4 linked regions of the Notamacropus eugenii genome follow. The main gene of each other region encodes a partner of the protein of the gene in region 3 in a complex. Links are inferred from orthologs where the notes say so. Each region holds a gene or a part of one and is shown on either strand. Other genes may lie near its edges. The genes, in order: phospholipase A and acyltransferase 3-like, MAPKAP1, KRAS and RGL2.

The links.
Region 1: the proteins of KRAS (region 3) and phospholipase A and acyltransferase 3-like are in contact, whole or in part, in a crystal structure (PDB 7C41), measured with the Homo sapiens proteins. The link is inferred for Notamacropus eugenii from reciprocal best matches to the Homo sapiens genes KRAS and PLAAT3. Residues at the interface, in NP_001356715.1 of Homo sapiens: Ala11, Gly13, Lys16, Ser17, Tyr32, Asp33, Pro34, Thr35, Ile36, Thr58, Ala59, Gly60, Gln61, Asn85, Asn86, Lys88, Asp92, Tyr96, Lys117; in NP_001121675.1 of Homo sapiens: Leu65, Tyr66, Asp67, Val68, Ala69, Gly70, Ser71, Asp72, Lys73, Tyr74.
Region 2: the proteins of KRAS (region 3) and MAPKAP1 are in contact, whole or in part, in a crystal structure (PDB 7LC1), measured with the Homo sapiens proteins. The link is inferred for Notamacropus eugenii from reciprocal best matches to the Homo sapiens genes KRAS and MAPKAP1. Residues at the interface, in NP_001356715.1 of Homo sapiens: Ile21, His27, Val29, Glu31, Asp33, Pro34, Ile36, Glu37, Asp38, Ser39, Tyr40, Arg41, Leu56, Glu62, Glu63, Tyr64, Ser65, Ala66, Met67, Asp69, Gln70; in NP_001006618.1 of Homo sapiens: Phe280, His287, Gly288, Phe289, Ser290, Leu291, Ile292, Gln293, Lys307, Lys310, Arg311, Arg312, Lys313, Gly314, Ser315, Phe363, Glu365, Ile369, Val374, Met377, Leu378, Ser380, His381, Tyr484, Glu487, Ser488.
Region 4: the proteins of KRAS (region 3) and RGL2 are in contact, whole or in part, in a crystal structure (PDB 8B69), measured with the Homo sapiens proteins. The link is inferred for Notamacropus eugenii from reciprocal best matches to the Homo sapiens genes KRAS and RGL2. Residues at the interface, in NP_001356715.1 of Homo sapiens: Ile24, Gln25, His27, Val29, Glu31, Asp33, Pro34, Thr35, Ile36, Glu37, Asp38, Ser39, Tyr40, Arg41, Lys42, Tyr64; in NP_004752.1 of Homo sapiens: Ile651, Arg653, Glu660, Asp661, Gly662, Ser663, Val664, Tyr665, Lys666, Ser667, Ile668, Leu669, Lys685, Lys686, Asn688, Arg689.

What each region holds. Positions count from the first base shown.
Region 1 is NC_092873.1:16,507,211-16,514,433, forward strand, and holds the start of phospholipase A and acyltransferase 3-like, read right to left. Parts: upstream 3,010-7,223; 5' UTR 2,643-3,009; exon of another isoform or gene 2,334-2,642; intron 2,081-2,333; 5' UTR 2,029-2,080; coding exon 2,023-2,028; intron 1-2,022. UniProt on the Homo sapiens protein: Exhibits both phospholipase A1/2 and acyltransferase activities. Shows phospholipase A1 (PLA1) and A2 (PLA2) activity, catalyzing the calcium-independent release of fatty acids from the sn-1 or sn-2 position of glycerophospholipids.
Region 2 is NC_092872.1:448,188,674-448,195,809, reverse strand, and holds the start of MAPKAP1 (target of rapamycin complex 2 subunit MAPKAP1), read left to right. Parts: upstream 1-4,124; 5' UTR 4,125-4,406; intron 4,407-7,136. UniProt on the Homo sapiens protein: Component of the mechanistic target of rapamycin complex 2 (mTORC2), which transduces signals from growth factors to pathways involved in proliferation, cytoskeletal organization, lipogenesis and anabolic output.
Region 3 is NC_092874.1:180,489,096-180,496,434, reverse strand, and holds the start of KRAS (GTPase KRas), read right to left. Parts: upstream 3,018-7,339; 5' UTR 2,890-3,017; intron 2,471-2,889; exon of another isoform or gene 2,393-2,470; intron 1-2,392. UniProt on the Homo sapiens protein: Ras proteins bind GDP/GTP and possess intrinsic GTPase activity. Plays an important role in the regulation of cell proliferation.
Region 4 is NC_092873.1:89,326,373-89,333,503, reverse strand, and holds the start of RGL2 (ral guanine nucleotide dissociation stimulator-like 2), read left to right. Parts: upstream 1-4,122; 5' UTR 4,123-4,211; intron 4,212-4,525; 5' UTR 4,526-4,574; coding exon 4,575-4,724; intron 4,725-4,763; exon of another isoform or gene 4,764-4,782; intron 4,783-5,323; exon of another isoform or gene 5,324-5,849; intron 5,850-5,960; coding exon 5,961-6,044; intron 6,045-6,394; coding exon 6,395-6,573; intron 6,574-6,685; coding exon 6,686-6,736; intron 6,737-6,818; coding exon 6,819-7,131. Other genes in the region: TAPBP (tapasin), read left to right, coding at 548-943, 1,216-1,557, 1,661-1,750, 2,033-2,070, 2,435-2,446. UniProt on the Homo sapiens protein: Probable guanine nucleotide exchange factor. Putative effector of Ras and/or Rap. Associates with the GTP-bound form of Rap 1A and H-Ras in vitro.

The sequences.
Region 1 (7,223 bases), on a different chromosome or scaffold from region 3:
CAGTTATGGAAGTCATAGGGTTGGGGGGAGGAGTTCCCCCTTCAGAGAAACTGGCGTTTGAATCAACCCATTAGGAGAGAGTAAAGCTGATAGAAAGGAGGACACATGCCAGGACCTCCCAGTTATGGGCAGCTCCCTTGGACAGCTGTCATCTGTCACCTCTCATTCTTACAGCAGGGCATGTGCCCAGACTTGGCACTGGGGGTGATGCTAAAGCAAGCAGACAGAGGCGAGAGCCTTGTTACCCAGAATATGGCCTGTGTTGTGCTGTCCTCTACTTTCTCCTGGTCCAAACAGAGAGGATCCAGGGTATCACCCTTCCCCTACTGCCATGGTAGTGCCTCGAAGGCCCTCCTTGGTGACCATGGCAAAAGAAATCTAAACGTCAGACCTGGCCAGTACTAAGCAAAACTGGGAAGGAGGCAAGATTCCTCTTTGACCTTACTCTCTCTTTTGGGACATGATGCAATGCTTGACTAATTCCAGCCAATTCCCATGGGCAAAAGATGACCCAAGCCCTCAACTGGCATCTTTCTCTGCTTCCCTCAATCAAAAAACATGTCCTCTACCATCTATAACTCATACAGGTTACAAACGAATCCAGAACATTAAGAGAAACTAGTTCAACTAACTCTTAGTAAGGTATCACAACTGATGGTGACTTAAATTCTTATCCCTTTCCCAGGAATTTCCCTCAGAGGCACACAGTCTTAAGTCAAAGGAATGAATCTCTAATTATGAAATTCCTGAGGATGGTACATCCTGATATGTTTTGGCAGGGAGCCCTCCCAGTTCCCTCAGATTTCCCCATGTGGGCCAAATCTACTCCACTTTTTTGGTGAGGTCCTCTGCATTACCCCACCTCCTGCTCTGGCTGCTGTCATGGCTGCTTGGGAGACTCATCTCCAGAAGACTCTGGCAGAACGCTCCTGAGCACCCAAGTTATTCCTGTCCTATATACAGTGCACTTTGCCTCTGGAAGCAGTGAGCAGTTTGCACCTCTCAGAGATGCCAACCCTTAGGGCTCTACAGGCTCACAAATCAAGAGAATGGGAAGAAGGATGAGAAAACATCCTCTTTTCTTTAAATATCAGCAGAGGCCTATGGATGTGATGGAAATTCTGACAGCCCGTACTCCAAGATCCCCCAACTCTGACATCCCATGCTGAGACCCCCCCAAATCTGACATCCTGTTCTAAGACTCAATGCTGACATTCTGTGCTCCAAGACCCCCCAGCTCTGACATCCTGTTCCAAGACCCCTTAACTCTGACATCCTGTTCTAAGACCCCTCCAAGTCTGACATACCATGCTCTGAGACACCCCCCCCCCCAACTCTGACATTCTAGCTCTGACATCCTGCACCACTCTCCTCTGGGTTAAGCAGGTTAAGACATCTCGTATCTCAAGACCCTCTCCCCCAGCTCTGACAATGTTCTCAGTTTCACTTCCACTGCCCAACTTTTGTACCCTGTCCTGTGTTCACAAAAAGGAAAGTCTTTTCTTTCTTTAAGCTTAAGTTTCAGACTAAAGCAAAACTGAAACCTGGAAGGCTTTGAAGCTCTGGTCACCAAGTGAGTTGGCAAGCCCATCTAGAACAAACATTGAGCCATCTGGTATGAGGCTTCAGGCCTCCCTGACCTGTGTTCCTCCAGATCTTGCTCCAGTGGCCGCACACCCATTCTGTGCTCTTGCTAAAGAAGGTTCTATTTCTCTGCTAGCTCTGTCTTTATCCAGCTCCATTCTATGCCCCTATTGTCCTGCGACCAGCCCACAAATGAATTCCCGATACTTCCTCTGAATAATAGGCAGATTCTGTATCTTGCTGGGCAGCCAGCAGTGAGTGCTTGCCTGGTAAACAAAATGAAAAGAAAGCCTGGTCTCACGTTGCAAGTGAGGCCAAAGGGCCCTCAAGAGCCGTGGCTTTAGGGTTTACTAACCTCTCTCCCCTCAAGTCCCCACCTACAAGGGCCAAGCACTAATCCTTACTGTAGTGACTTACAAACGCTTTAAAAGTACCTACTTGCATCTCTGTCAGCCCTCAGGGTGTGGATGCCACTTCCTTAGCCGTTGGAGGATTCCTGAGAAGAAATGGTAAGAATCTCTAGTGTCGATAACAGGAAGTAAGAATAGAAGGTCTTGGTGGTGAAAGGGGAGGTGAGGGTGGGGTCCCTGAGGCCAGCGGAGCTGGAGGCTGGACCCCGCCTCTTGCTTGCCAGAGCCTAGGCACTTGTTCTCCATCCCTCCCCTCCTGGTCCCATTTGGCAGCGAGCAGGGCGTTCCTTAAACCTTCATTGGACCTACATGGACCACTGAGAAGAGGAGCATAGATACCTGGGAGGCGAGGGCTGAGGCTCCGGCCTGGCACGATCGCGGCTCACTACTGACAGCTGTCTGTGCCAGTGGGAACCTGCTGACTCCGACACTTTCTGCCAGAAAGCGCTCTCTGGGCGAGAACGCCTCCCCCAACGGGTGGGGAGGAGGGGGAGCTGGGCACTGCCCTGGACCACAGGTGCCCTGCCCCGCCCTTCTCCCCTGCCTGCTCCAGTGCAAAGATCAATCATCTAGAGCCGCCCCTGGAGGGCCCAGAGGACACATACAAACACACCGAGAGCACGGGGCATCCCACCTTGGCCAACCCACCTGAGCTTCCTGGGCCTTGACTGATGATCCAGCAGCGGCGGGGATGACTCCAGCAGGCAGGACGTCTGCAGGAGGTCCGGCGCACAGCTGTGACTGGGTCAGCCCGACTCCGCCCAGACCAAAGAGCGCAGCTTACCCTGAAAGCGAAAGTCGCCTCCGTGACAGCCGAGCACAGGTGGCCTCGTGGTACCCTGGGAGCGGGGATGCTGGCCCAGCCTGGAAACTCAGCTAGTATGCAAAGGTCCCAGCTAGCCGCAGGGCTGCGGCTCCCACCCTCCCGCCGGCCGTGGGCGGGCTTGGCTCTGGGCTCGGACATGTGGACAACGTCGTGTACTGACCCAACCCTCAGCCTGGCAGCCTGCGGGGAATGTCAGCTGTGCTCTGAGACCGCAGCCCCTCCCTTGTAATCTCAGACCTTCGCCAGTGTAACCACCCCCACGCCCTAGCCTTTGCTGGAAGACCTCGGGATGGGGAGCCCAGCACCTATTCAGGCAGCCCTTTCTACTCCTGGGCGGCTCGGAGAGAAGCCGACCCTGCGCTCCCCAAAGCGGTCCCAACTCTGCCCTCTGGGGCCACATCAATCAAGTCTAATACGCCCCGCGCCCCCATCCCACTCCGCTCTGGGACAGCCCTTTCAGTCCACTCCAACCCGGCCTTAGTGGACCCCATACGTTTTCTCTTTTCCAGGCTGGCTTTTCCCAGGTCCTTCAAGGGAAAGTAAGGATGATCATGGAATCACAGGTCTACAACTGGAAAGGACCCTCCAACCTTCACATGTTACAGATAAGGAAACTGAGGCCCAGGGAGGGGAAGGGACTTTCCTGACTAATGTTAAATAACATGATTTCCAGATGGAATTTCATCAGATTACCACGACCTTGTGATTTAAGAGCTATAGGCATTATTTCCATTTTATAGATGGGGAAACTGAGTCTCAGAGTGGTTATGTAACCTGCCCAAGGTCACACAGCTGATGTCTGAGAGAGGATTTGGACTTGCATCTCCCTGACTACAAGTACAGACATCTAGCTCTAGGTCATGCTGTATCCCAACTGATCTTCCTGTGCGGAGGTCCTCACTGCCCTCCTCTGGACAACCTGCAGCTCAATGGTCTTCCACATGTGCCCTGACCAGAACAGATAACACAGCCCCCTTCTTCCCAACTCCCAGGCCAGGCCTCACTTAAAGCAGCCTAACACAGCATAAGCTTTCTTGGCTGCCCTATCTTATCTATCAAACTATGGGCTCATATTGAATTTGAAGTCCACTGTGACCCCTGGATCTTCTTCAAGAAAACTGATAACTAACCAGAACTCCCTCTTCTTATACTTAGGAAGTTGATTTTTTGAACCCAAGTGGAAAATTTACATTTACCCCTAATCAGGGTCATCTAACAAGATCAGTTTTCTGGTCTTCTTGGGATCTTTTCTGAGTGAAAATACTGAATTTGGAATAACGGGTTCAGGGGTAAATTCCAGCTCAGCTACTTGCTACCTGTGTGACCTTGGATGTCACACCTTCCCTGGCCCTTGGTTCTCTCATCTGTAAAATAGAACAGTTGGACTGGGCGACCTCAAAGGTCCAGCTTTACGTCTTTATTCCTAAAAAATGAGGATCTAGGGATCACGAGCTTGGAGAAAAGAAGGCTGAGGGGGGCCACGTCAGGCATCTTCCAGCATGTGTCATTCTAGTGCAGAAGGCAGAGTAAGACTGGCCATCAGGGAAAATTTGGCAACAATCTGAACTCCCCCCCAAAAGGGGATGAGATGCCTCAGGAGGTGGTGGGGACCCCTTACAGTCTCTGAGCACAGTCTGGGCAGCAGGTTGGCTGGGTTGGATACCCAGGGACGTCCTCTGAAGCTCTAGGCTACTAGCTAGCTCTCCTGGCCACCTCTGCCTCCTCGGAGGCACTGGAGTCTCAGAGGCTGTCATTGGTGTTACCAGAGAGATTGGCTTTGAATATTGTCTCTCAGGGACCAGCCCAGCTATATTTGGCAATACTAGGTTAGCCTCGGGTCAATTTTCCAGGCAAAGGATCACTCCAAGACTATCTAAAGTGGTAGAGAGATTAGGGTGTCTGTTAAAGGAAAGCCCATCCCAATAAAAGTAGCCTTCTTTGAAGGGTAGTCTTTTGCCATTTAAGGACCTCTACATTTAAGGTAGAGGTCCTCATCCTCTCCCAGCAACATCCACCCTCACCTCCCTGCTCCCCTAGCTCTGGACAAAGGTTGTCCTGGGCACTATACCCACCTCTGCCCCGTCCTCTCCCTAGAGCTGCTCTAATCTGCTACAAAGACAATAACTACACACACATTGAAGGCTGGTCATCAGTCAAGTAGCCAGGTGGTCTTGGCAATAGAGCACTGGACTCTACAAAGGCATGAGGATGGCACAGGAAATGCCATGGACTGGGCATAGCCAATGGGCTAGTTTGACACAAATGTGTTTGAGATAGGTCAGAATCAAGTCTTAAAGGCTTTTAAATGCAAGGTTGGAGTTTGTAATTTGTGTCAGAAGCAACAGAGAGCCACAAGCTCCTGGAACAAGCCAAGAAAAGTGACTGGCTGTGTCCTTTACGATCACCAATCCTAACACATAAGAGCTGGAAACTGCCCAGAAATGTGGGCCTGGGGACAGCCCCTGTTGTTTCACACAGGGGAAACAGGTCAAAGGGAAAGGGTTTGCTCACACTGCCTCTAGTTCCCTTTGCACCTCACCACATTCCTCGTTCTGTTTCCAAGTCTTCCTAGAGTAGGTGCCCTAAAATGAGCCAGCAGCACACATGGATTGGCAGAACCACACATGCAGGGGGGAGGGTTGTGTCTTTCTCAGAATGTCACCTCTCTGTGGGCCTCTGGCTCCAGCCAAACCAAGTGTAGGCTAACACAGCCACACGCTGTCTGCCAGATGAATAGATATCCAGCCCTCTGCCCTTTAAACTGGGCACATAAACGCTCTGGAGACCTCTGCCCAGCATCTTCATCGTCCACATTTGGCAGTATCCAGAGCGCTAGAGAGAGGTAAGGGGCCATTTTTAGAGGACTATCCCACTCACTTCTCCCCAGCTTTGAGGGAGATTAGAGTGGTTTCCATGGGCATTGCTCATCCCCCTGGAATCACTAAGGACCCTGGGATCCTGAACCAGACCTGAAAGTTTAGGGAGCAAAAATGGAGGAGAGTTCTTGGCCCTCCTACACCTTTCTACTCCAACCAGCACTAAAACCCCCAAAGCCATCAGCAAGTTCAACCAAGAGGAAGAAGCGTGGGCTGCGGTCTTCTGTCCCCAGCTAGGTCTGAAAGGTGCACATGTAACCCTTCTCTACAGGATCCTAAGGAACTAACAAGGAAACTTTTGATTTCCTCTTTTTAAACAACACCCATTAGCTCAATAATGTGTCAGGTGAGGAGGGCAGCTAGCTAGGGAGGAGGAGGAGGATGGGTCATCCAAGTTTCCTAGACTAAAGAGCTAGAAAGGACCTAAGAAATTTCCCAATCCAAACTCTTGATTTTACAAATGAGGAAATGTTGGCTCAATGAGGGGAAAGGACTTTCACCAGAGTCACACCCCAGGGCATGCTGTCCCTTAAGTTACAGCACCTCTCTCAGGGGTCCTGTTTCTTTGAGAAGTCTCCAAGAGTGAAGAAAAGGCAGAATGCAGATGCAAACAGGTTGTGGTCTTTATTCCATTACACAATCTCACAACTCTCAGTGTATGTGATACAGAGACATGCACACTTCTGGTTAGAGTCCAGCGTACGGATGGATGGATACACACTCATCTGATTGCACTTTTCCAAGCTAACAAACTAAAAAACAGACAACCTGCTGGGTGGGAGTCCGTGTTGGACCAAAGTCACCTGCAGCCTACGTGAGAGGCTCCCTGGTAAAACAGAGGGCTGACAGGTGACCCTCTGACCAGTATCTAAATCAGGAATCTTTGGGAATCAGACGAAGTGCATTCTTTGCTTTGGCACACATTGGAATCCCCACATGGACAACAAAACAGTAATCTTGGTCTGTTAAGGAAAGATTTTTCAAAGTCTATTGAGAGCCCCTCAGAGCTGCCTTCAGAGCTACTGGCCCCTGCAGGGCAAGCTCCCAGAAGCCAGGTCATAGACCTCTCCTATCCCTGATTCTATTTAGGGCCTAGAGGGACATTTTCAATGTTTGAGCAACTGGAGTAAGAGGATCCAGCTGGTTTTCTAATAAATAAAACAAAACAGCAGCCCAAGTTGATTTAACCAACTTCCTAGTTCTATTCCCATCAGTCAGTGACCAGAGACAGGATGAACGAACGGCACCATGACCTCCTCCCTGTCCAGCCCAGGACACCTTGGGTGGGTGGGGTCCGCATCTCCTGAGCTGCCACCATCCACCACCAGGGACAAATTAACCCTGGTCACCACCTATTTAGATTTGGCACTAGGACATCTATTATGACCCAACTTCTCTGCTCCCCAGGCCCAAGAGGTCACTAGAATATTTCACCCTACTCTTAGCTCCCAAATGTACCCATCATCCTGTATACTAGATTACTTTGAAGGTCAAACAAAAAGTTCCTATTTCAAAATGTCAAACTAG
Region 2 (7,136 bases), on a different chromosome or scaffold from region 3:
ATATCTATTTTGGACTCCTTCTGAGCCCAACATAACACACCATGCTACATGTTGGGGATACCTATTTCTTTTGGAGAATTACCTTTGTTCTATTTAGTCTCTCAGGATTCTAACCTCTGTACTTTCCTTAATTCCTCACGCTGACCTCATCCCACATATACAATCAATTCCACCTTCTATATCTTTTGCATCTAACCCCTCTTCTCTACTCACACAGCTCCCATTTAAATTCAGACTTAAAAATCACTTTTCACCTAAATTATTGCACCAGTCTCCTAACTGATCTCTCTGTCTCAAGTCTCTCTCCACTCTAGTCTGACCTATATCCTGCTGCTAAATGATTTTCCTTCATGGAAGATCTGACCATGTCAGTCTCCTACTAGATTTATTCTAGCGGGTCACTACTGCCTCTAACATTGAATATAAAGCCCTGTGATTAGCTTTTAAAGCCCTTCACAACTTAGCTCCAACAGATCTTTGCAGACTCATGAATATTACCTCTTGTCCCATTCAGCCAAACTAACTTTCACTCTGTTCCTCACACATGCCACACTCTTTCATCTTCTGTCTTTTTCCTGGCTATCCCCAAGGACTAGAAGGTAACCTGCTTTATGATGCAGCTCAAGTACTATCTTCTACAATACAGCCTTTCATAATCTCCCCAACAGCTAGTACCCTTCCTCCCAAGAGATCTTGTATTTAATAACTTGATATTTATTCTCATATATTTTAATATGTACTTGTTATCTCCTCACTCCCACCCTCCCCATTAGAATGTAAACTCCTTGCCAGTAAGGAGTGTTTCAGATTTTGTATCCTAGTGCCTTACATAATGTCCAGTATATAAATGTTTTCTGATTGATGAGTTGATAGAAGAAACCTAACAGTCTTGTGCCATCAAACAAATATTTGTCCAAAATACTATTTGTGGTATAGTTAGAAAAGGCCTGGTGTTAGAGACATAAGATCCAGGCTTCTCAGATGTAAGCTGTTAATCTTCTTATGATGGGTGGGTGGGTGGGGGGAGTCAAATTGTTTCTGACATTAAGTAGACCTAATCACAGAATGTCAGAGCACAAACACAGAGAGACAGGAGAGGGCAGGACATACCTAGGGATAAAAATGATAGCTTAGATTTACTTAGTGTTTTCAATCAATCAATCAATAAGCAGAGTGCATGAAGATTAGTGGAGTGAAATAAAGCAGGAAAGGTAGGTTTTACTCAGATGAGAGGTCATACATACAAGATCAGGCATTTGAATTTTATGCTATAAAAAATAGGGAGTCCACTGAAAATTTTTTGTGCAGGTGAATATGTTTGTAAACTCAGTCCCAAAGCCCGATGTCTTGCTGCAATATAGCAACACCTGTAGAATGTTAGTTTTAAAAAGATAAGCCTTTGCTTTTGGGGGCAGTAAAAGAAAAAAAAAATTATATACGCTAGAAAGTGGAGCAAAAATAAGAATTTAGTGTTAACTCAGTCCTCGCAAAGTAGGAGAGGCAAACAAGAAAGCAGAAAAGTAACACTACATTCAGAGAGCAATGAATAAAGTGTTCTCTTGAAATGTGGATGTCAGGTTTACTGATTAGTCGCTGATGATGTTTGTAACAAAGTCCCCAAGTATAAGATTCTCTCTTCTTATTAGTGGAGATCAATGTTTCTTGCTTACGTGAAGGGTCAGATAAGAGTTGTTGAGATTGGGAAAGAAGAAAGTTCTTCACTTTCCTTTGAGTCTTCTTTGAGTCATCATTTGAGTATTTTTGGGTGCTTCTGTCTCTGGACATTTCTGGCTTTCAGCTTCAAGAGAGAAGATGGAAAATGCCACTTCAGGTTGCTGAAGTAAAAGACTGGCAAGAAGCTAATAGAAGAAGAGCTGTCAGTCTGGCAGTCTCCATCTTGTTTTTTTCCCCAGCTTGCCTTTGCCTCTCTCTGTCTCTCTCCATGAATTACCTGGCTTTCACTGGTAGAGCTCCTTTTCTTTGTATTTTCTGGTATATAATCTCTGATTTCTGTTTTGCTACTGATTCTTGGATTAAGTACTATGTGTCTTTACTGAGGAACTGGTATCTGGTGGGAAATGAGTCAAACCTTGGATAGAAAACCTGGGATCTTGCTCCCCCTTGATAATTATCAGGGATCAGAAGTTAGCTTGAACTTTAAAACCTTATCCTTCTTAGACTAACAATATTAAGGTAGCAGATAGATATTATTCTAGCATGGTCTCTCTGAGGAGAGCAGTATGCCCTGTGGGCTTCAACTTCTTGCTTCCCCTCAGGCAGGAACTAAAGTTTCCTTTGGAAAAGGGGCTAAAGATGTCAACTCTGCCTCCCTTTGAATCACACAATAACATCCCTATGCTACATATGGGAGGACAGCCCCGTGTAACACATAGGGCCATGACACATATTCAAGTCTGTTCGTTGATTTTTCTGGTCAGAACATCCCCTAGGAAAGTAATCTTGAGTCAGGGACTAAAGTTTTCTCAAATCACAACTGCTCACCACAGAGTACTGGGCTTGGAGTCAGGAGTCAGGAGTCCTAAACTCCTCAAGCTACTTACTAGCTGTATGACCTTTGGCAAGGTGTTTCTCCTTTCTGAACCTATGTTCTTGTTTGGTAAAAGGATAATTGATCTAGAGCTGTAAGGGACCTCAGTGGCTATCTAATTCAACCTCCTTCTTCTACAAGAAGAAAGCTAGGCACAGGGAGGTGCACAATGTCAGAGAGGTAGTGAGCCAAAGACAGAGTGTAGTTTGAAATAGATCACTTCTAAGTCTATTCTGGGCAACTAGGTGGTACAATGGATAGCATGCCAGGTCTGGAGTCAGGAAGATTTATTTTCCTGAGTTCAAATCTGACTTTAGACACTTTCTAGTTGTGTGACCCTGGGCAAGTCACTTAGCCCTGTTTGCCTCCATTTCCTCATCTGTAAAATGAGCCAGAGAAGAAAATGGCAAACCACTCCAATCTTGCCAAGAAAACTCCAAATGGGGTCATAAAAAGTTGGACATGACTAAACAACAACGAAGTATCATTCCAGTTTTAGATATTATGAAACTTATGAAGGGGAAGGGAAGTCAAATCAAAAAGCATTTATATTAAGTGCCCATATATACCAGGCACTGTGTCAATCATGGGGGGATACAAAGAAAGGTAAAAACAATTCCTTCCCTTAAGGAGCTCACAATCTAATAGGACAGATAAAGCTTAACTTAAAAATAAATAAGTCTGTTCCCTGTCTGCAACCAAAGTACCTATGTTAAGAATTCTAGCTTTGAAATCGGAGGAATTGGGTTTAAAACAATGCTCACTTAACTACACGTATGACATAGTAGATCACGTATTTTCAGTGTGTCCAGGGGTGAAGGGTCTGCAAGGTCAAAACTATTTTCATCATGATACTAAGATACGATTTACCTATTAAAATACTTTTACCTTCTCCAAATACATATCTGTATGAGGCTGGATTTCTTCACACATTTCAACCAAAGCAACACATTGAATGCAGCTTCTATGAACCTATCTGTCCTCTAGTAAGCCAGACGTTAAAACGATTTGCTAAAATATATAAAGCAACGCCAATCTTCTAATTTTTTCTGTTTGGGAAAAGTGATTTTCATAAATAGTATGTTATTTATGTTAACCTAATGGATTTGCTATTTTAAATCAGTAATAAGTGTTTTTTCCTAAAAGGTATCAGTTTTAATTTCTAATGCAATAAATAACGTTTTAAAACATATAAAAGCCGTCCAAGATGCTCAGTACTTTTTAAGAGTGTAAAGAGGTCGTCAAAAGACCCCAAAGTTTAAGAACTGCTGCAGCAGAGAATACCCCTGGGTAGCAGGAACAGAATCTGCTCAATCCTCCTGGGCCTCCGTTTCCTCCTTTTAAAATGAACAGATTTGGATCAGATAGTTTTAAAAGTCTTTTGGACCCTAACCTGTGATACCGTGAGCTCCAGTTCCAATGACACCTGTCCGATCTGAAACAGCCAGGGAACTCACTCAAAAGCCGGTGGGGGCGGGGGGGAGGGGGGGGGGGGAGGAGCAATGGCGCATGCGCAGAGCCCCTGCGCCGGTCTGGGTCACAGCTAGAGGAAGGAGCTTTCGCTGCTGGAGCTTGCGCACTGAGGACCTCAGAGTGACTTCCGGTGCGGCCACCTGGGGTGAATCGGGGTCGGGTTCAGGGTGGCACAGGGAAGCCAGAGATGCAGTTCCGGGGCACGGCACAGTGCCTGAGCTTCTGAGCTGTGGCTCAGGCTGCGGGGGCCGCGGGGCCGGTCCGAACCTGGCTTGGGGCAGGAGGAGAGCCCCGGAAAGTGGAGCGGAACCGGTCCTGGGAGGAGGGCCCCGGCCCAGATACCGACCCTCCTCCCACCCCCCGCGCCCAAGCCCCGAGGATTCCAGTAAGTGCGGAGGTGCCGAGGGAGCCGCGGGCCCATCCGGGGACGGGGCTAGTACCGTTGCCCTCCTCCCTACGGGCGGGTGGTGGAGGGAGGGGGTGCTGCGTGAGGACCCTGGAGTCCTCGCCTTGTGTGGGGAGCGGCAGGCTCGGGGGTTGGGCCCGGCCTGGCGTGGGTGCCCGGTCCTGCCTGTCTCTGGGGAGGAGTGACCAGGGTTACCTCCACCGGCACCCTTGCCCCTTGCATTGGGAGCAGCTCTGCCCCCTCCGACCCGCAGGAAGTGAGCCTTCCTCCTTCCACAGGCGCGGGGTGGTGGTGGTGGTGGTGGCCTCTGTGCCACTAGACCCCGGCCTCCTTTTAACCTCTGCCTCAGTTTACTCATCTATAAAATGGGGACAGGGATGGAACCTACCTTGAAACGTTGTTGTGAGGATCAAATGAGACGGTATCTGTGAAAAGCGCGTGGCACGGTGCTTGGCGCAAAGAACGCGCTGTGTATTCTTTGCCCTCCCCACTTTGGATTTTGGGGGTGATGTGGATAGAGCCACTTCTGGGTGGAAGTAGATCGATAGTGAATGCAGGCCGGTTATATTTCAGTGTATCACAGCAACTTGACAGTCAAGTCAGTAGGCATTTATTGAGCCCTTACTGAATGCCGATCACTGTGCAAAGCGCAGAGGATACAAAGAAATGCAGAAATGATCCCTGATCTCTTAGAGCTTACATTCTACTGGGGAAAACAACATACAGCCAACCTTGTACATACAAGATATATGCAGGGTGAAATGGAAGTAATAGGGGAAGAAGCACTAAGATTGAGGACTGGGAAAGGCATTTTGCACAAAGTGGGAGAGTTAACCCCAAACTTCAGTGAAGTCAGGAAGCAGAGATGACCAGGGAGAAAGGAGAGTTCCAAGCATGGGGGACAGCCAGTAAAAGATATCTGGAGTTGGAGGTGGATTGTCTTGTGAGAGACAAAAAGGCCAGTGTTGGACTTTAGAACATATGGGGAGGGGAGGGGGTAAAGCCTAAGAAGACTGGAAAGGTAGGAAGGAGCTAAGGCCTAAAGAGCCTTTGAAGCTAAATAGAATTTTCTGTTTTGTCCTGGATGTGATAAGGAGTCATACGAGTTTCTTGACTAGGGGTATGACATGGTCAGACCTGAACCTTTCTTAGGAAGATCAGTTTAACAATTGAATGAAGGATGGACTGGAGTGGGGAAAGATTTCAGGCAGGGAGATAGACTAGAAAGCTATTACAATAGTCCAGGCTAGGATGATGATTATCACCTGGTTGGTGGTAGTCAGAAGAGAAAAGAAGACATATAGGACACATGTGTGGAGGGTTAAATGGAGAGGAGTTGGAGGCTGGGAACGGAAGGGGAGGAGAGTGAAGAATTGAGGATAACAATTAGTTTTTGAGTCTGGATAACTGGGAGGATGGCTTTTATAGTAAAAGGGAAGTTCAGAAGAGGGGAGTGTTTTGGGAACATATAATGAATTTAGTTTTGGATATGTATTACAGTTGTGTCACAGACTGAGTTAAATCAGGGAAGCATCATTGTAGAGGCAAAACTAATTCTTGGTTCCCACTCACCTTTCTTTTATTCCACTTCACACATACTCTATTCCAATCAAATCAGCCTGCTAGCAAACTCTTCCCTATACTTGACTTTTTTCTCCCACCTCAGGTGTTTTGGTCTTTGTAGAGGCCATCCATATCCCTCTTTGGAAAACAGCTCTCTCATCTTAGCCTCCTACAGTCCCTAGCTTCCTTCAAAACACAGTTCAGATGTTACTTTCATTTGACTTTCCTAATCTTCCGTCTTTTGGAAATTACTTTGCATTACTTTGTCATACCTTTTTTACTTTAAAATACTTTCCATTTAGTATATGTGAAGCGTTTTGCGTAATTTTAAATCACTGTGTTTCTTTCTCATGCATTGAAAACTCCTTGAGGTCAGAAATGTTTTAGTTTAATATTCCAAGTGCTTACTTAGCACAGTACCTTGCATACAGATGCACAATAAACATTTATTGAATAGAAATTGGAAGGTACCATAGAATATAGTATGTTAGAGTAGCAAGGCATCTCATAATGTGTAATGTTAGAGCTGAGAGGATTCTTGGAACTTGGTATGTATACAGGATGTCCCAGTAGTCTTAGTGCAGACTTGGGACATCCTGTATTTCTGTGGCCGAACAGTAGTTTACTTAATTGCTCCACTATTTCATCTGAATGCTTCCTCTGCTAACTCCAAATACAAGCCTGCCATACTTTAGAAGACAGTTCTCTTGAGTTGTTTTGCCGGTCATCACCTGTTGGCCAACTTGCTAGTGAAAAGCAATTTAAGATGACTTTAAGGCTTTTTAGAGGGAGCTGACTCCCTGTTTCTTCTGCTTATTGGGTAAAACTTCAGAGTAAATACTGATTTTAATTTGTTGTCTTTCCACAAAGTTTTCATTCAACCTGTTTTGTTTTCATTAAGTGATATTCCCTTCCCTTCCCCTCTCCCAGCAGCTTTCTAAGTACTAACAAATTTAGAAAGCTGAACTGTTGCGGACATTTGCACATTCATAGAATGAAACCTGCACCATCAATATCTGCTAGATTTTAAGTGTCAAGTATGTATAGTAGGGATTAAACACTCATACCCACATTACCAGCGGTGTGAGGTCTTTGAAAATCACTTCTTTAAGTCACAGTTTTCTTTAAATAGTTTATCTGTAAAAT
Region 3 (7,339 bases):
GTGGCCATTGATTTCCTTTATGGAACCAAAGAAAAAAGAAGTACATGTAAGAAAGGCCAATCAATACCATTTAGAAGGGAACTGACAATAATCCAAAATTAGATATCAGTTCCTGAACAAATTACTGAAGTGTGAATGAATGCACATACAAATATATTCAGTGTCTGTACATAAGTGTACATAGAAAAAAAAACACAGAAGGTCTATCTATTTGGCTCACACAAGAATAAGAAATATCCAAACAGATCAAAATCCAAATATTCTAGTTTGTCAAATATACCATTCCCCAGCCTACTCTCCAACAGGTAATGTCCTTAGGCTCCAAAAGTTTTTGTGCCAGGTAAAGAATAGCCTTTTAATTTATCTTGTTCCATACTCATTTCCCTCCAACATGAGAACAAGGAACTTGCATTAGCCTAGTTCTTAGCCACTACAGCAAGGAATCTTGTGCTATTTGGCCCTCCTTGTGTAATGTCAACAACAAACAGCATGGAGAAAACCTACCATGCTTCAAAGTTTAAGTAGCAGTTCCTATGCAAGGCCTTTCCTGATTCACAAAAGTTGCTAATGCCTTCCCAAATTAACTCATATTAATCCTGTGTATACTTTGTATTGTATTTCATATGCCCATGCTATTTCCATGAATAGAATGTAAGCTCGTTGAAGGGGGGAGAGCTCTTTCCTTTTGCTCTGCGCACTAGCAAACAGCACAGTGTGCTAAATAAATGTAGAATCTGTGCCATAACTTCAACTCCCAGCTCCTACGCCTGCCCCCCACCCCAAAACTGCTTACCTTAAAGTCCAAAAAGCAAGTACTAACTCAATGAAAGTTAACCATGAAGTGCAAAATCCTTGGTCTGACATTTATGACCTCCACAATCCTGCTCCAGTCTCCAGATTTCTCTTGTACTACTTTCCTTCATATACTCTATGGTACTGCCAAAATGGAACACTTAAGAGTCCACAGTGGCTGAACAGTCACATGCTTTTCTATCAGTGCCTTTACTCATTTGAGGGTCTTCCCCTCAAATCTACTTATTTAAATCCTTTATATTATAGGTTCATAGTATTTAGAACTGAAAGGGACCTTAGAAATCATCTAGTCCAACCCTCTCCCCTCAGGCTATCTGGGTAAGTTTATGAATGAAAAAATTAAGGTTTAGAAAAATGAACTGAGTGCCCACTGATTCACAGTAACAAGGCTAAGATTCAAAATCAACTTGCTGTTTTTACTAATTTAGCAATCTGGTGTTCCTTGCATTAATTTCATTCAAAGGATAGGGATAGACTCTCACTTCAAAGGTTTAGGGAACTTCGAGGTGAGGAAATTCTCTGTACCAAAGTATTCTCTGCACTTTAGATAGTTTTAGGGACTATGCCAAGTGCTTTACAACTATGATTATCTCATCTGATTCTCACAACAACCCGGGGGAATAGCTGCTATTACTATCCTCGTTTTACGGATAAAGTGAGGTTAAGTGACTTGACCAGGGCCACACAGCTAGTAAGTGTCTGAGGCTGGATCTGAACTTAGGCCTTTCTGACTTCAAGCCTAGCACTGCATCCACTACACCACCCCAAGCTCATCACTGTACAAATGAGAAAATTGAGTCAGAAAGAGGTTAAGTGACAGTGCATAGTCAAGAAAAGAAATTGAGCATTTTAAGGTAAATAATATTCTCTTAATTTACCTCTCTCTGAAAATTCAAGTTTTTAAAACAGGCTACATCTGAACATGTCTTAGGTTCCAAACAACACCTAATTGCCATCAACTACCTTCAGTGAATAAAGTCTTATCATTCTGAAGCTGAGTCCATCAATATGGACATCAATCAATGACTAATGTTAAGACTGTCTGGATATCAATAGCCATTTTCCCTTCTCTAATTCTCTATGCTTACTACTGCACTTGTAAACATCAGCCAGTCTGCAGCTTTAGCTATAACACATACACACACCTGATCAAAAGGCTGCACTAGGTTGTTTTGGCGGCCACTACCAGGTCCTCGCCACTGGTCATTATTGCTAAATGTTGGAGTTCGGTTACAGCTCGGTATTACTGTAGTAACTTCCAGGATGGTGAACGTGTTCTGCGTTCTTCACCAGAGATAACCACTTTTAGTTTGTGGCTGATTTTTTTTCTTGCTTATAAATAAACTTGACTCAGCAAAATTCTCCGGGATAAACCATTTTCCGTTTACAACTCCTGCCAGGTTTAATTCCGTCCACCTGGAGCTTTCTGCTGCCACTTGCCGAGCCACAGAGGGAATTCGGCGGCTGCAGCAGGACCCTCCCCAACGTAACCTCCGACACCGAGTCTCTGCCTACTTCTCAGTTCTCTTGGGAAAGGACCCCCCCCGCCCAACAACACACAAACACACACAACACACACAGAGTCTTTGTTCACAAGGAAGAAGACCACTTAGCGGCGGCGGCGGCGGCAAAAGAAGTTTCTCGCTCGCTCGGGGAGATGCTGAGGGCGGCAGGGGGGACGTCGCCGGGCAGCCGAGGCGGGGAGCCGGCCAGGAGGGAGTGCGCCGACCCACCGACGGGCAGACCGGGGCGCAACCTCCACCACGCCCGGACCCGCCCTCGGGCCGGCCGAGTTTCAGCTCGCCTCGAGCCCGGCCGGCTCTCCGGGGAGGGAGGGAGGAAGGAAGAAAGAAAGGAAAGAAGGAAGGGGATTCCCGTTCAGGAAGCGGCGGCAGCCTCTCCCTGCACCCCCCCCCCCCCCAGCCCGTCCTCGCCGCCGCTCCGTCCCTCCCACCCCCCACCCCCGCGAGGACCCCTAATTCATTCACTCTCCGTCCGCCCCGCCCAGCCTGGCGCCGGCGAGAAAAGGTCGGACCCCGGGCAGGGACTCAGGGGGGAGGGCGGCAGGGCCCGTACCTCTCTTCCGCGCCGGAGAGACGCTGCGTCTCGGGCCCGCACGGCCGCCTGCGTTAACGCCGCTCTCGAGCCCACTCTGAAATGGCGGGGGCCGGGGAGCGCAGAAGGAGCCGGAGCCCGAGGCGCAGCCACCGCTGCTGCTGCCGCCTCTGCCGCCGCCGCCGCCGCCGCCACCGCCTGGGGAAGTCGAGTCCCGAGCGAATGGATGCGAGCCGCGAAGGCCGAGCTATCGATGAGTTCCGCGTTCGACTTCTTTTCGGGCGGGCGAGAGAGAAGAGGGAACGGCCAGGGCGGTGTGAAGAGAGAAAGAAGGAGGGAGTCAGGCGAGAACTGAGCTCGAACTGCTAAGTGGAGAAGGAGGAAGAGAGTTGGGGCAGGCGGCGCACCTCACGTGAGGGCGGAGCTAGGCTAGAGGAGGAGAGGCTAGAGCACTGGCTAACTCCACGCCCAGCCTGACAGAGTAGCGGCCCCCTTCCGCCCCCCCACCACACACACCCATCCATCCACATACACACAGAGGCTGCCAGCTGGCCAATCCCCTTCCGCCCTCCGGCCGCACTCCCGCCCACGCGGCTCTCCAGCCACTCACCTTGTCTCTGGTCGTAGACACTCTCCTCCCCCTCCTACACATCGAGTCGGAGCGAGCCGCCACACCTTCGGGTCTCCCCGCAGGCACCCTCCGAGCTGGAGAAGCTCCCTTGTTCCGCCCCTAGTCTAGAGCCGCGGACGGGCCTGCCCAGGTGCCCCGAGCGCGTCTTCTGCTCTTCGCGTCCTCATGGCCCTCGGCTCTGTCCATCCACCTCGGCGGGCAAAGCCCGGCTCCGGCGCCTCCTCTCCCCGCCCGCAAAGCCTGTCCTGCTGCACGGGAGGACTCTCCGTCCCCGATCCCGCGCCTCTTCCTTCCCCCTCTCTACCTGTGTTCCGTTGGTATTGGGAGCCCCCTCCCCCTTTACAAATGTGGGTGAGCACCGGCAGCACAATTGGTAGTCTTGGAGCTGGGGTCCGCCAACTTTAAAAAAAATAACTCCAATACGAGTTCCCGTTGTTAAACTTTGTATTTTATTTCAGGCATTTTACTTTAATCACGTGTACAGTAAAATTTTAATACTCTTTTTTAAAAAAAATTTGAGTTCCTAATCCGTCCCTACCCCCCTTTTTGAGAAGGCAAGCCATTTTATATAGATTACACTTGTGCGGTCATTCAAAACAGTTCGATATTAGCCAAGTTGCAGAAGAAAACTCAGACCAACAAGCAAAAATAATAAAAGAAAAAAATGTGCTTCATTCATTCTGCATTCAGAGTCCATCGGTTCTTTCTCATAGCATTTTTTTAAATCACAAATCCTTCTGAACTGTTTTGGAAACATGCCTGTATCTACTGGATTCCATAGACTATCAAAGGGGACTGTGACACACCCACACCTTCATTCCCCCTCCCCCCCCAAAAAGCGTTAAGAACCCAGGAAAGAGCGGTTTAGGAGAGGGCGTGACTTGTCCAAGGTCAGCCAGTCAATAGATGTCAAACACTGGAACCCAAGTCTTTGAAGGCTACCTGTTCCCCAGATTTGAAATACATTCCAGCCTCACCTCTGCCTCTTAAAATCCCTTATTTCCTTCAAAGCTCAACGGAAGTGCTACCTCCAGCCTGAAGCCTTTATTATCATAATCTCCCAACTCTGGTGTCCCTCCCCCCTCCCCCTTCTCTCGAGTACTCTCTCCCAACTAAAATTTTCTTGTATTTGCTTTATCAGCATAATTGTTTATCCTCTTCTCTGGGAAGGAACTGTTTGTGCCAGCTAGGTCGAATTGTGGATAGACTGCTAGATTTGAAATCAAGAAGACCTGAATTCAAATCCTGCCTCAAACTGATATTGTGTGTGTGACTCTGGTCAATTCACTCAAACTCCCTTTCCTAACCTGGTTTCCTCATCTGTAAAATGGGGATAATAATAGCACCTATTTTTCCAGGGTTATATGTATTTAAATCAATATTACTTGATTATTAATATTGTTAGTGTGATATAAGAAAATATAAAAATAGAATATGATATAAGAAATGATGAATACAGAAAAGCATGGGAATACTTACATGAACTGATGCATGGTGAAGAAAGCACAATATATTCACTAATTACTAGAATGTAAATGGGGGAGAAAGCAAGAACAAAACGATCCCAACTGAATACTGTGAAATTATAATGACCGAGCATGGCTCCAAATGAAAAGATACCTTGGCTCCTTTTTGCAGAGGTGGGGGATTATTGGTGTGGTGCACTGAATATGAAGTAAGACTTTGATACTGTTTAATATTGCTGAACTGTCTCTTTATTCTTTATCATGTTGAAGAAAAGATAATACTATATTTTGTGTTTTTAGCAGAAGTCATCCAGAAATTAATTTAATCTTGTTCTAAATCCAGGCATCTGTAGGTTGGAAAAATAGTCAAAATGTCATATTGTCACACACTCTCTCTCTCTCTCTCTCTCTCTCTCTCTCTCTCTCTCTCTCTCTCTCTCTCTCTCTCTCTCTCTCTCTCTCTCTCTCTCCTCTCTACCCTAAGGCAACTTTGAGGTAATATTCACAGGAATTTATTCAATTTTGAATAAACCTTCTATTCAATCTAATAGAATAAGTCACTGAAAACTTCTCCTAAGGGCATTCAATTCTTCTTTTGACCACTCCCCACCCACCTACCAGGATTAAAAAAAGCTTTCTCTCTCAGGTAATCAGTATCTTAATCCTTTGTCCTCAGTCTTCATCGACCCCCAACTGTATAGTTTCAGGAACTGCTTTACCCTGAAAGCTCATGATACTCTGACTTCACACATAGGAGCTACCTTTCTCCCCCACTGCCTGTCCCACTAATTGCCTAGTTCCTTCAGAACCTGCAATTTAGGGAGGGCAACCAGGCCAGTCAAATCTTCTCTAAACTGCTCTCCATACTGTCCCAGACTTTCATTACCAGGACCTGATGCCAATCCCCTCCACTCCCCAGGGACCTTCATCCCTTCTTCTTGTCCCCACCCACTCAGGTTTTTCAATATCCTTCTATGTATTCTTTCCCAGTCACTAGAATGTAAACTAGTTGAAGGCAAGCTGTTTCTGCTTGTATTTGTTTCCCCTGAACTTAATAGTAAGAATTTAATAAATGCTTCTTGAATGAAGAGGGCAATGTCCCAAAGTAGGTCACAGCCTTTCTCCTCCAGAGATGGAAAAGCAATGATCTTAACTCCTTTTTTTGGCGTCTAAGTTTGGGTACCATATTGAATTCATATTCTTGGGACCTTAGCTTTTATTATTGACCTTTTCCACACTTTCCTACAGGAAAAAGGACTTTAGACTAGATTAATATTTATTTCTTGATATTTTCAGATGAACAAAAAAAGGGGTTTAATATGATTCCACAGTTATAAGAAAATATCTCTTGGAAAGAGAGTAGGGTGAAAGATATTTGGTTAATATAAGTGATAGAAAAACAAAATATATGCATAAAAATTTTTTTAAAGAGGAGGGGAACATTTCAAGAGTAGAAAAAATTATTATTCATCCCACACATCCAAGTCATCATATCTTCTCAAGACATCTTTTCTTATCAGTTTTTTCCTCTGCATTCTCACTGTCTTACAGTAAGAGTACTATTGGAGTACAGAGTACAAGTCCTCATCCCCATCCCTAGATTGCTACAATAGCCTTCAAGTTCTCTGTCCTCTGATAGACCCAACATATTGCCAGACCAATGTATCTTAATGCTAGGTTTATCATCTTTAATAAATAGCAAGAACCTATGTGAAGAGAAATGGACTAACCCTGAAGATAACAAAGACAAGTTATCTGAATTCCAGGGGCTTGCAAATTACTCGTTCACTTGGACTAGATTCTACTCACTTCATAAACACACTGATGATAATATAATAATTGATATAAATAATATAATTGATATATTATAAACATAATATATATGACATGATGTAATGTAATATGATATGATATATGTTATGATATGATATGATTAATATAACATAATATAATAATATGGTAATCGTGGATGGGAAGATATCTGAAATAAATTGGGGGTCTAGATATTCAGATATAGCCATGCTAACAGAAAAAAAAATGCAAGCAAACCACAGCATAGATCATTAAAGGTCTAAGATCACAAAATCATTAGTTGTAACAAAGGAAATGAAACAGAAACTTTCTCAGCAAATATTGCCCCAAATGAGTGTCTTTCCCAAATACATTCTGGAGAAACAGCTCTCCTTTATCCAGCTCCCCATCTGAAAACTGACAAAAAACATAACAATGTGCTAGCAGCTTTTCTAGCTTCTTATTCACCCCCTTTGTATCTCAACCAGTAGCCCTCTGCTTCTGTTCTGTTCAGTACTATGAATTCAGACACTGCTGCCCTCTTCTTACAGAGGCACTATAGTATATAGCCCACAGAGTCCTG
Region 4 (7,131 bases), on a different chromosome or scaffold from region 3:
AAAGGGCTATATCAGTGACTACACAGATCTCAAGGCTGAGAAGGGTTAGCCTTTCAAGGGTCATAATGCTCTAGATTCTGATACACCCCTCCCATCTCAGGCACCCATCTGCTGGGCCCTGTCCTTCACAAGACTGAGTACAAAACGATACTATGTAGGAGCACAGAAATGTTGTCATGGTCACCAGGGAACTGAGAAAGGGAGTTAATGTCAAGGTGACCAGGGGCAGGGCAAAGTGCAAGGGTCTTCCTGCCTGGTTAACTGATGGAAAGATAGAAATTGGATCAAGAGAAAGGATATTGAGAGATGGGCCCCCTAAGTGGAGTGTCCTCATTAATTCAATTTCTCTGCATTTTTTCCCATTTCACAAATTCTTTCCCATTCTTCCCTACGTTCCTATTTCCTTTTACCATCCCCAATCTTCTCCCATACCACCAATTCTCATTCACTCTATCCACTTTCTCCACTCATTTCTCTCCCTTTTGCTGCATTCCTACTAATTCATGCCCAATTCTCTTCCTTTCTCCCCATTTCTCCATCCCAAAAGCTGTGTTGACGGTCCTTTCTCACTCTCCTGCTGCCCTGGTGAGGCCTGGTAAGAATGCCACGTTGGACTTGAGTTTTACTTACTTGCCTCCCAACTCTGGTGGGGCCCCTTCTTCCCTGGGCCCCCCTCCCTTCGGGTTGGAGTGGCGGCGCCAGCATCGGGGGACTGGACAGCTGCTCTTGGCCGTGACTCCAGGACTGAGCAGCCAGGCCCTAGGGTCTCCAGAGGGGGCAGTGGCATTTGCTGCCTGGGACGAGGAAGGAGTAGAGGGCCCATGGAGTGGGAATGGGACTCTCCTGCTGCCCACCGTACAGCCTCACCAGGAGGGTACTTACCTGGCTACCATCCACCTTCCTCACCTGCAAGCCCAAGTAGCCCTAGAGCTGGAAATACGGAGTAAGTGAGGGAGAGGACTGGACAGTGGAATACCTGAAGTAGGGAAAGGGGCCTGCGACTGAGATGGGGAGGGGGAGTGGGATGTGTGGAGAGACATTGAGTCCCTAGGGGTATTGAAGGCAAGATTGAACTGGGAAGAGAAAGGGTTTCTGGGGACTGGGAAGAGGTCAGTTAAGGCTCCCTAGGGGAAGACAGATGAAACTAAATGGTATAACTGTGTTTGATTACCTCCTTGGCACTGATAATCACAATACTCTTCCTCCTTCCTGCAGAGCCCCCAAAAGTGACCCTGACCCCATCACCTATGGTCTGGGCATACCCAGGGCAAGCTCCTCCAGAGCTCCTCTGCCTCATTTCCCATTTCTACCCTCCGGAAGAGCTAGAAGTGACTTGGGAGTTTTGGAATCGTACAGGAGGAGGGAGCAGGGTGGCAGATGGCCAAGCCTGGCGCTCCAGCTACCGCTATCACCCAGATGGCACCGTCAGCATCTCAGCATACCTGCGCCCTGCCACGGTTACAGTGGAGCAGCATGGTTCCCGCTATGTCTGCCGGGTCCACCACTCCAGCCTGAAAACCAAAGGACTCAGTGCCCAGGTGTCTTTAGAAGTGGCAGGTAAGGAAGGACAGGGTGATGGGAGAGGAAGAAGCCTGTGGGTCCAAAGGGCTGGGAGCAGAAATCCCAGACAGAACAGATATGATCTCCCCTCCACCCCCAGGAGTCTCTGGGCCTTCCTTGGAAGATGGAGTAGGGTTGTTCCTCTCAGCATTTCTCCTTCTCGGGATCATCAAAGGAATGGGGTGGGTTGGTAAGTCTCTGTTCCTCATCCTCAAATCTGGGGGCTCCTCCCCACAAAAAACCTGGGAAAGGCTAGTCCCCTAAAACTTCACCCTATCAGTCCTCCAAACAGCAAGACCCTTGGGCCATACTGCTGAAATTTTTATTCACTATTTCAAAATCCCACCTTCATTCTTCTCCTTTTATAGAAATTTCTGCATATGCTCCCCTCCCACACACCCCAATACATAACACTTCACAGGCCTGAGGTATGTAACCAGTCACCATTCTCACCTCCATCTCTCCTCCACAGCATCCTTCCTGTCTCCTTCCACAGATACAAAGGAAAAGGTAACTAGCTCCCTGGTGGCTTACATCCTACTGTACTCTCTTAAAATAGAATTTCAGCCCCCATTTCATCTGATCCATTACCCATATAGACTTTTTATTTTCCCTACTATCAGTCTTTAAAGTCACCCTACTGTACCTCCTAAAATTCCTAGTGGTCCTGACCTTGGGCAAATTACTTGTCATATCTAGGGCTCAGCTTCCTCATTTGTAAAATGGGGTGTGTGTGTGTGTGTGTGTGTGTGTGTGTGTGTGTGTGTGTGTGTGTGTGTGTGTGTGTGTGAGAGAGAATTCGTTTACTTAACTCCCCAATGCCCCCTATTGCCTATGATGCTGCACTTTCATTTTTTTTCATTCTTGCTTCCAGAAATCTCACTGAAAAAAAGATACAGGTGCTTAGAGCTCCAAGAGAGTAGGGGCCGATTGATAAGGCGGATCGGAGGTGGTTTGGCTAAGGAAAAGTGTGTCTGTCAGGAGAATAAAGCTGGATTAAACAGAATAGTTCCAGTTGTGGTTAATGCATCCTATGATGTCCCTGTTCCCTCTGCCCCACATCTCTTCTATATTCTTAACTACTGAAGTTTAACTAGGTTTTTTTCACCTAGGGCAAAAACAGTAGAGACCTCCCCTCCAAGAGGAAGTGGGGGAATGTGGTGCCCAATTTTTAGGTGTGTGGTGTGTGTGTGTGCCTCTCCCCACACCAATAGGGTGAGAAGCTTGGCTGTTCTGGAGAGGGAGGAAGGCTTCCAGGAGCTCTGGGCAAAAAATGGGGGACACTTCAAAGTCTCAGTTGCGTCCAGACCTTGAGAAGGTGGTGGACAGCATGAAGTATTCTAAAAAGGCTCTCAAGAATTCAAGCGACTGAGGCCAGGCTATTCAAGGAGGGAGATTAGTTTAGCACGATCTAGAGCGTTGCCGGGGAGACCTGGCACCTGGGACTTCAGGGATGGTGCAGGAAGAGAGGGGCTTCAATTCATCAGTCGAGACCCCAGCAGAAGTAAGTCCCGGGACGATGAACCCGAGGTCTCGGGGGAAGTTGCTGGGGTGGGAAAGGACCTGTGGGTTCCCCTCCCTATCTTCCACTAGCTGATAACCCTCTCTTTTAGCCCGGGAGAGCTCTGCCCCTTGCGTCACCATTGTTTTGGGGTTCAGCTCTAGTAAGGACCGGTCCCCAGGATCCGCACTTGTGTACCCAGGCTCCTCCTTCATTGCGGCAACCCCTTCTTCCCTGGGCGCTGAGGCGGCTTGGGGAAGCTGGGAATGCGGAGTCCCCAACCTTTCCCACTGGCCCGTCCTCAGGTGAGGGGGGCGGAGCTAGGATTCTGGTCCTCAGACTGCGGTGGAGAGAAAGGGACCCCATGTGCCAGCGCCAGGACCAAGCCCTATCCTGTCCGCCCTGGTTACGGTTCTGCCGCAGCCCCTCCCCTGGCAGGTGCCCACCTGCCTCTCAATAGTGCGCATGTTTGGAAAACAGGTACAGAATGGAAGGACCCTGGAAAACGGGCTCGCCCAGCTCCAAAGAAGGAGCCTCGGCCCGGGAGAGCCTAAATCCCGGAGCCCAGGGATCCGGAAGAGGTTACGGTAGCTCACCCGAACGCTCTCCTCCGCCCCCCAAACCCTGCGGGCCTCGTGGAAAACCCGTACTGGATTCCATCTCCGCCCCATTCCCGAATAAGAGCGAGGAAGGGAGGTGGCGCGAATTAACGGGACACAGTCCCAGTCCAGAACACTCCTGGCTGCGAGGACCCTGGTCATTTTCCCTAACTGGACGGGCGTGGGAGTGGGCTGTAAAAACTAGAACTTGGGGACCGGATTCCCCAAAGAGGGAAGGCTTCGGGGCTGGGGCTGGGGGGTCTTGGATGCCTGGCTATCTGATGGGGTGACCCCCCCCGCCCATCATACACCCAATGTCCGGGCTCTGGGCACACACCTCCCCCTCTCGCCTCCCTGTCCTTTACTTCCTTCCCTATTTGACTCCTGCCCTCTGAGCGGGCGGACGCCGGCAAGGAGGAGGGAGGGGGAGGAGGAGCGGAAAGGGAGGGGGGGGGGCGGAAAAGACAGGGAGGGGACTCGGGGCCCCGGCCTGAGACCGACGGGAACAGCTGCCCCGAGGCCCGTGCCGCCCCTGCTCCGCCCGGAGCCAGGTCAGAGCCCCAGAGCCCCTCTCTGCGCCCAGACGCCGTCCCCTCCCCTGGGTCGGCTCCCAAACTCTCTCCGCCCTCCTCCTGCCAGATTCCCCACATACCACCCCCTACACAAGTCCTCTCCCAGCCCGCACCCACCCAAGCCTCCCTCCCTGGTCCCCCACTCCGACACAGCGTCCCCCCATCCCCGCATCTAATGAACTTGGGCAGCTGCGCCTGGCTCCGACCTCGGGTCCTCGCTCCCCAGCCCCTCCCTGGTGGTCCTGCCCCGCCTTCCCCCACCTTGACGCCCCTCCTTCCTTGTTTCTTCCCAGGCAGCCCCATGGCTCGACCCCGTTGACTCCCTAAGCCCTGATCTCAGCCATGCTCCCCAGGCCCCTGCGGCTGCTGCTGGACTCTGGAGGGGCCTCCCCTGGGGGAGTCGTGCTGAGCGGCTTTAGGAGCCGGGACCCCGAAGGGGGCGGGGGCCCAGGGGTGGGCGGGGAGGAAGAGGAGGAGGAGGAAGAGGAAGAGGTGAGACTTGGGGGTAGCTGGAGGGCGACGTGCGCCCGAAAAGTGTGCCTTCTTGCAGGTCTCTTCTTTCTCTCTCCTACGTCTGCCTCTGGTTTTGTCTCTGGCTCCGGGTCCAGGCTCCGGGTCCCTGTCTGTCTATCTGACTGCCGGCCCCCCTGTCCCCCTGTCACTGTATCTCTTAACTCTGCACCCTCCGTGTCCCTCTCCGGCCCTTTGCCCTGCTGCTGTGCTGTCTCCTTGTTGTTGTTTGGGGAGGAGGGGTTTGTTTCCACAGTAACTCGATCCTCTTGATCTGGGATTGGGGAGGAAGCCCTCAGATTTGTGACCCCTCCCCTAAGCCATAAGGGAGAGCCTGGGGGAAAGGCCCAGGAGCTTCCTCCTCTCCTGGGAGGGGCAGCGCCGAGGCCCAGGGGTGGAGGTGGAGGTGCTGGGTGTCTGGGTGATGGAGGGTCAGATGCCAGAGTTTCTCCGGGGATTGGAGCTGTGTGTGGGGCCTGAGGGCCTGCACTCCTCGGTCCCTGGGCTGGGTTGGAGGATGTGACCTGCTGGGCTGGTTTTTCGGGATTGGGCGGGGGAGGGACTGGGGCCACGTGACTTTTGAGTTTTTCTCCTCCCCCACTCCAGCTCCCAAGTAACCCCACTTCCCCTTCTCCTTTCTGCCTTAGGATCGGAGTTGCTACCTTGGGAAGGGGTCCTTGGGGGTTGAGAGGAAGGAAAGACAGAGGATTTGGGGGGAACTCATTGAGGGATAAGGCTGAGGAGCAGGGAGGGGACAGGGTCATTCCCCAGACTCAGACACTACCTTGATTGGGGGGGGTGGGGGTGGAGAGGAGAATAGAAGTGAAACTATGTAACTCAAGTTTCAATTTCTTTCTCCCCAAATCCCCGAGTCTCCTTGTCTCCATTGCTTTCCGCTTCTTTGCCATTGTCTTGCCGTTGTTTAAGGGTTCGGCTCTGGGAGGGAGGGGCCCCCAGAATCTGGGCTTGTGTACCCAGCGTCCCCCTTCACTGCAGCCCCCCCCTCTGCGCCGGGCACTGAGGCGGCTTGGGGGGGGCTGCCTCATTCCCAAGGCAGGGGATGCAGGGTGCACTCCCCGAACCCGCTGGTACTGCCCCCCTCCTCAGGTGATGGAGCAAACTTTGAGAGTGAAAGGGGGATGATCGGGGAGGTGGGGAGGCAGCTCAGTCAGCTCAGATGAATTGGTGCTGACTGGGCCCCACCCCTTCCCTTTCCAGGCCCCGGTGTCTGTCTGGGATGAAGATGAGGACGATGCCACCTTCACTGTCACAAGTCGTCAGTATCGACCTCTCAGTCCCTTGGTGAGATCCTCTTGTCTGACTTCTATGCCTTTATCTCCCTTGTCTCCTACAATCCAACTTCCTGAAAATAGCATTGAAACTAGGGTCAAGAGACCTGGATTCTAGTCTCTGCTCTGCCGCTGATTCTATTATTTTCAGCAAGAAACTCTGTCTTTGAGCTTCAGTTTCTTTATACTTCCAATTTCTAACCCTTCTAAGACACCTGGTGACTCTTCTGCTGACGCCACAGATATCCTAGAGTTCCTCAAGTCATCTCCACTGGCTAGCTCTTACACGTAGTCATTTGAATCTGACTTCTTAATTGGGGGGGAGTAAGTGAAGAGTCAGTAACCCCATCCCCTCTTCTGCAGGTTCCTATGCCTCCTCCTCGTTGTACCCGTCGACTTCGGGCTGGGACTCTATCTGCTTTGGTCAGACATCTGCTGGATGCCCAGACGTCTGGGTCTGACGTGACCTTTATGCCAGCCTTTTTGGCCACCCACAGGGCATTCACCTCCACACCAATCGTACTTGGATTGTTGGTTGACAGGTCAGTGGGAATGGGAGATTGGAGTGTCTGAGGAGTCACCTGGCCAGAGAAGTCAGAGGCCACAGGGTGTTTAGGTAGGATGGATAGATGGACTTCTCTCTCTTCCTTCCAGACTGGAGGCTCTGGAGTCCAGTCCCAGTGCTGATTTGGAAAGGACAAGAGGGTGAGTGACCCCTGAACCTTTGACCTCCTGATCCCACTCTACCCTAGCCATGGCTTAACCCCAGCTTGATTTCTTACACCAGGCTGATCCCCTCCCCCCATAGGTTAACCATCTCTGTTCTGTCAACCTGGCTGACCTCTCACCCTGAGGATTTTGACTCTGAGGTCAGGGGTCAGCTTGACCGGCTTGAGAGCTTCCTGCTACGGACAGGGGATGCAGCAGGGGAGGTTGTTGGGGGGGACATCGTTGATCTCATCAGAGATCTCCGATCCCGGGTGGCCCTCCCAGCCCCTGACCCTCCTAAGCCCCTGGTCCCCCCTGGCGATCCCCCTGCTGACCCCACGGATGTCCTGGTGTTCCTCGCTGACCACTTGGCCGAGCAGCTGACCCTGCTG